2 separate regions of the Mus musculus genome follow, and region 2 is reported to be linked to region 1. Evidence: microRNA targets listed by miRTarBase, many of them from high-throughput screens and not tested one by one. Region 1 holds a microRNA gene; the other region holds the end of a gene's coding sequence.
The links. Region 1 holds the annotated microRNA mmu-miR-669a-5p (AGUUGUGUGUGCAUGUUCAUGUCU, at 1,661-1,684, shown strand). A microRNA usually pairs through its seed, bases 2 to 8, with sites in the 3' UTR of a target mRNA and lowers its output. Matches are read on the target gene's strand: a 7mer-m8 pairs with bases 2 to 8, a 7mer-A1 pairs with bases 2 to 7 and ends in A, and an 8mer does both.

Region 2: the mRNA of Xk is a reported target of mmu-miR-669a-5p. Seed matches in the 3' UTR shown: 8mer at 3,096-3,103.

What each region holds. Positions count from the first base shown.
Region 1 is chr2:10,502,146-10,505,581 of GRCm38, forward strand. Mir669a-12 (microRNA 669a-12) reads left to right here and starts at 1,646; the gene lies at 1,646-1,732. All of the region lies in intron 10 of Sfmbt2 (Scm-like with four mbt domains 2), which reads left to right. It overlaps Mir467a-10 (microRNA 467a-10), which reads left to right and starts at 1,128; the gene lies at 1,128-1,210. Mir466b-3 (microRNA 466b-3) reads left to right here and starts at 1,420; the gene lies at 1,420-1,500.
Region 2 is chrX:9,309,073-9,312,508 of GRCm38, forward strand. It overlaps Xk (X-linked Kx blood group), which reads left to right. Exons shown (of 3, transcript NM_023500.2): 3 at 1-3,436. The coding sequence ends at 677. Among named protein-coding and RNA genes, the nearest start is that of Gm25481, 7.0 kb to the right of the region's middle.

The DNA.
Region 1 (3,436 bases):
TTCGTGCTGAATTTCATGATGAGTTCATGATCAGCATGGGATTCATCTTATGCCCACCAAAAATGTGCATGTGTGTATAGTTGTGTGCATATTCACTTCTCTATATGAATATGCATATACACGCATGCAAACACATTCATAGGAATGGCCAGAGCTATGTCTCAGTTAGGCGGTGAGTATGCTTGCCAGAGCTAGGAGGATGAGGAGTTCAAATTCATGTTTAACTTCTTGATGTGTTAGTGTTCAGCATGCGATTCATGTGATGCCCACGAAGAATGTGCATGTGTGTATAGTTGTGTACATATTCACTTCTCTACATGAATATGCATATACTCACATGCAAACATACTCACACTAATGGCCAGATCTTTGACTCAGTTAGGAGGTGAATACTCTTGCCAGCATCATGAGGATGAGTAGTTCAAATTCATGTTCATCTTTATGGTGAGTTAGAGATCAGTCCAGAATTCATGTGATTTTTCCCTGTGTATGTGTTTATGTGTAAAAGGAAGTGTGCCTGTACATGCGCGTATATGAGCATGCATATATATATATATATATATATATATATATATATATATATATACACACCCACACAACTAGGGACACATACATGTGCACACATACACACATGGCAGTCATCCATTTGATTTATACGTGCTTATAATTTCATTGAGTGTATATTCATGGTATAGGGAATAATCTCACTTATCAGATGAAAACCACTTGCCAGAGTTAGGAGTCTCAGGAGTTCAAATTCATGCTTAACTTCATAATGAGTTAGAGATCACCCTGTATTTGTGTGATGGATCCTAGGTATGCACAAGTGCATATAATTGTGTGTGCACGTACATGTGTGTATATGATCATACATATAAATACACACACATACAAATGTATTCACACACACAGGCGTGCACACTCACACACATAAGAATGACACTCATTGATCCATTTGAATGATATATGTCTTAGAATTTTGCTGATTATAAAGTAGAGGGACAGTGAAGGTCTCACTCACCAGGTGTAAATAATTGGCAGTGTCAGGAGGATCAGGAGTTCAATTTCATGCTTAACTTCATGAGCAGTTAGAGATCATCCTGGAATAATGTGATGGCCCCTATGTATGTGCCCGTGTGCGTAAGTGCCTGCATGTATATGCGTGTATATTTTATGCATATACATACACACACCTACACACACATGCACACAGACATGCGGAAATGGCCTTCACGGATCCATTTGAATGATATGTGACCTACTGCTTTGGAGGTTATGTATGACTGGGCCAGGGTGAGGTCTCACAAACCACGGGAAAACCCTTGGTAGAGTCGGGAAGATCAGGAGTGCAAGTTCATAGTAAAGGCATGATGAGTTAGAGGTCATCCTGGCATTCATGTGATTGCCCCTGTGTATGTGTATATGTGTTGATGTGTGTGTACATGTACATGTGTGAATATGATATACAAATACATACACGCACACATAAGACACATATGAGCACACAGACACATGGGAATGGCACTCATCAATCCATTTGAGTGATAAGTGACTTAGAGTGAAAATGCTTGCTAGAGTTAAGAGTATCAGGAGTTCAAATTCATACTTATCCTCATGAGAGATCAGCCTGTGATTCCTCCATGTATGTGCATGTGTGTATAGTTGTGTGTGCATGTTCATGTCTATATTTGAATATACATAACATACACACACACGTATAAACGCAAGCACACATACACAGATACAGGAATGGCATTCGCCAATCCCTTTGAATGATAAGTGATGTAGAGTTTTAGCGATTATGCAATAGGGGACATTGAATGTCCTCACTCACCAGGTGTAAAAGATTGACAAAGTCAGGAGGATAAAGATTGCAAATTCATGCTTAATTCAGTTAGAGATCATCCTGGTATTCATGTGATGCCTCCCATGAATGTGCATGTGTGTTTACTTGTATGTGCATTATCTCTGTTGACATGCTATATATAACATAAACACACGTGTATATGCAAGCACACACACACACAGGAAAAAATTGCATTCATTTATACGTTTGAATGATGTGTGACTTAAAGTTTTCAAGATTATGCAGTAGTGGGACAGTGAATGGTTTTACTCACCAGGTGTGAAAGATTGTGGATCAGGAGTTCTAATTCATGCTTTACTTCATGATGACTTAGAGATATGCCTGGGATTCATGTGATGCCCCCTATGTATCTCTATCTGTATCTGTTTCTATTGTGTGTGGATTTGAGTATATGGATGTACCTATCTACACAAATATATACATGTACACAGACACAAACAGAAACACACACACAAACATCAGTGCAACTCATCGATCCATTTGAATGATATGTGATTTAGAGTTTTAAGATTCCTCAGTACTGAATGGGGAGAGGTCTCACTCAGCAGGTGAAATCCCTTGACAGTGTCAGTTGGATCAGGAGTTCAAATTCGTGCTGAATTTCATGATGAGTTCATGATTAGCATGGGATTCATCTTATGCCCACCAAAAATGTGCAAGTGTGTATAGTTGTGTGCATATTCACTTCTGTATATGAATATGCATATACACGCATGCACACACATTCATAGGAATGGCCAGAGCTATGTCTCAGTTAGGAGGTGAGCACTCTTGCCAGAGTCAGGAGGATGACGAGTTCAAATTCATGTTTAACTCACATTGAGTTAGAGATCAGCATGCGATTCGTGTGATGTCCTCCAAATATGTGCATGTGAGTATAGTTGTGTGCATATTCACTTTTATACATGAATATGCATATATACTCATGCACATACACGAATGTCACTCATATATTTTTTTGAATGTTATGTGACTCAGAGATTTAGAGCTTATGCAGTACTGGTCCAGAGCTATGCCTCAGTTAGGAGGTGAATACTCTTGCCAGAGTCAGGAGGATATGAAGTTCAAATTAATGTTTAACTTCATGATGAGTTATAGATAAGGCTGTAATTTATGTTTTTGCCTCTGTGTACGTGTATATGTCTATAGGTAAGTGTGCTTGTACATGTGGGTATATGTATATGCATATATATACACATATATGGACACATACATGTGTACACAAATACACATGGCAATCATCCATTTGATTTATATGTGCTTAGAGTTTTATAGAGTGCATATTCATGGGACAGGAAACATCTCATTAATCAGATGCAAACCATTTGCCAGAGTCAGGAGGATCTGGAGTTCAAATTCATGTTTAACTTCATGATGAGTTAGAAATCGTACTGGATTTATGTGATGGACCCTAGGTATGTGCATGTGTGTGTAACTTTGTGTGAATGTACATGTATGCATATAATTATACATATACATACACATGCATGCACACATACAGACTTGAATACTCACACACATAAGTATGACTCTCATTGATCAATTTGAATGATATATGTCATTGAATTT
Region 2 (3,436 bases), not on the chromosome of region 1:
GAGTCATCGTCCTGGTCCTCTTTACCTCTGTCCTGAAGATCTGGGTGGTGGCAGTCATACTCGTCAACTTCTTCAGCTTCTTCTTATATCCCTGGATCGTTTTCTGGTGCAGTGGCTCCCCATTCCCTGAGAACATAGAGAAGGCCCTAAGTAGGGTGGGTACCACCATCGTGCTCTGCTTCCTCACTTTACTCTATGCCGGCATCAACATGTTCTGCTGGTCAGCTGTTCAGCTGAAAATCGACAATCCGGAGCTCATCAGCAAGTCCCAGAACTGGTACCGCCTGCTCATTTACTACATGACGAGATTCATCGAGAACTCCGTCCTCCTGCTCCTGTGGTATTTTTTTAAAACTGACATATACATGTATGTGTGTGCGCCTCTGTTGATCTTGCAGCTGCTTATTGGGTACTGCACTGGCATTCTCTTCATGCTTGTGTTCTATCAGTTTTTCCACCCTTGCAAAAAGCTCTTCTCCTCCAGTGTTTCGGAAAGCTTTAGGGCACTTCTCAGGTGTGCCTGTTGGTCCTCCCTGAGGAGAAAATCCAGCGAGCCAGTAGGAAGGATAGACACAGACTTAAAGGCGTGCACAGAGCAAGATGTAATGCCTACTACCAGTAAAGTGATCCCCGAGGCCACTGACATCTGGACTGCTGTTGATCTGTGCTCTGCTTAATGAGACCCGAGGCTTCTGACAAGTAATGAGCCTTCACACACATCATGAGCCCTGCGCAGGGACTAAGGCACGAAGTTAGCTGTCAGTTCCCTGTGAGCTGCTACCTTTTATAAACCCCTTGGCTTTGAGGCAGCTTTGAGTGCATTAAAGAAGCCTACTACCCCACAGTTTGTTTCGCATTTGACTCTGTTCTGTTCTTGCATCCTCACTGGCCATTTCATTGATTGACACAGTATCCCTGAAGTTTCAGTTGAGCTGGTCATACTCATCATTAGAATGAAGAGAAATGCTCGTTTTCTAGTTCCTAGCCTGTTGTCTCAGTAGCCTAATGCTTTACTACTACTGAATATAGCTTTATACAAGAGTCACCATGATAGCTGGGATAGGTTCCTAGGGATTTTACAACTTTGTTCCAATTATAGCTTATAGGAGAGCTATTTAAGTTTGTTTTATTGGTATGTTCCATTTTCACCTCACTAAGACTTTTTGTACATAACCAACTGTAGCCACTCTGGCATGCAATGTGCATTTTGTTTCAAGGGCCTACATTTGGGACTTTAGGATCCATTGGTACAGTTACTTAGGAAAGCCGTGTTTCATTCCACATGTTGAAGAAAGTAGGGATCAGGATCGATTGAGACAACTGTTAAAACATCAAAAACGATGGAAGCTCATACAAATATCTAAATGTTTAAAATATGAATTGCTCAGAAGGTAGGCTTCATTCTCCTCATAATTCAGGCTTGTCCTATAATTCTGAGAAATTTCTAGTAGAATTTTCTAAGATTAATATTTTAAGAAGGAAGAAAATAAAACTAATAGTCTCCACCTCTATCTTTCCCTTCCTTGCGTGCCAGGCAAGTTTTAAACAAGCCTTTTAACCTCAGTTCATTTGCTGTTGTTTCTAGAAAGCTCTGTAGAAATCTGTTTCCTGATGCAAGTATACAGGACATTTTATTTTTCACAATCTTAAGAAAAAGAAGTGTTTTCCTCACTACCATCCTTAGTTAGAAATGTTGATCTTAGAAACTTTTTAAGTTATAGAAAGTAATGAAATGATCAAGTTTTTGTTCCTCATGAAATCCATTTTGACTTAATAGCAGTTCATTTTCATGAGATACTCAGTTTTGTCCTCCACACCATTTCATCTAATGGATAATTTCTCTCTCATCTGGAAGTATTTATTTTAATTTAAAAGGGTTGGATAGAATATTGTCAGTACTCTGACAAAGGTGCCAGCAAGCAATGCTATGATCTCTACCACTAAATGTGGATGATGAAATGTCTACAAACAAGTGACCATGAAATTCACACCAACTTAACTTGAAAATTGTAACAAAATGTAATGCATTTCCAAAGGCACCCCTATTTGTGATTCTATGGGATAGAATAGATATTCAATTTTCTGATCACCTAAATACATAAAACACATTTATCTGGCCATCATACTCCTCATAATTGCTTTTTAAAAACTCTTTTGGTATCAAATTGATGAGAAATTTCATAAACAAATGAACATTCAGTTTGGTAAGTATTTTACTATACTAGAGGCTTCGTAAAATAGTAAGTATTCTTTGATGTGTCATTCACGCTGTTAATCTTTGTACCATTTTGTATGCACACATTTCAGTAAGGTTCTGAACCACAGAGCGTCCGTTTTCTTTCCTGAAATATTTTTCCTCATTTGTACTTCTTCTGTTTTACCAGGATTTGTGGTTTACCTGTATGAGAATGCATAGGCAGCCCATCATTTTTGATCACTTTTAACATATAAAAGTCAAATTGATGTTTGTCTGTTTGCTGTTGACCCCTGTACCACTTTTCCTGTTTGTAATACATCTAGATCTAGTTAGTGTACATCATCAAAGTGATACTTTATATGACAGATAAATCTTTGTACTTTTCTTGCTCAGAGGTACAAAACTGTTGAACATACATAGCAAGTACAGGGAAAGTACAGGGAAAACAAGCTTAAAATGCTAAAGCACTCCTGTTTGGGTTATTAAGAAATCCAAAATGATTGAAAGGGTAGGAAGAACATCCCTAGGTCAACCCAAAATGCTCTTCTCTGTCAAATCATTTCCTTATGTTTACAGGCACCAGGTGTTTTCAGTCTTTAATGTGAAGAAAATCCTTTCCTTGAAGCTTTCCAGTGACTGAGGGGAGAGATGGTACCCATTTCCAATTTCAGGTCATGCCTTGAGAGTGAGATTAGCGCCACTCTGACACTTCCTAGGCAGGTTCGGAATTAGACAAGGGTAAGGATACTTGTATTTTTCCAGCCTTGGTTTAGAAGCATGACCCAGAAATACTTTTAAACTCTTAATTTTCAAATATATTGTAAGCCCTTTTACCTTAGTCAGTTGGTAAGCATCTTGAATGACCTCAAACCAAACTAACTAGCAGTGATAAACTATCACACAACAAAGGCCCGCCCAGGTCCCGCTTTATAAAGACAGGTGTTTTTTTATTTTGTATTTTTAGCTAATTAGATATTATTTCAGTCTCTTGATAAGTAGGCTTTTTCCTTGTGCAGTCCCACAAGCTTACTTAATTATTCTATGCATCCATTTCCTAACTTACCAAATTAACATGATACGATATAGTATTCCAACTTACCTCATAAACTTGTTGGAAAGATTTCACTAAGTAATAGACACAAAAATATTTCAAAGTACCATAAAGAGTTATTATATTACTCAAGTCCATAAACTGGTTATTGTTTGTGGTTTGGTTTTGTTGTTTCCCCGACTGAAATG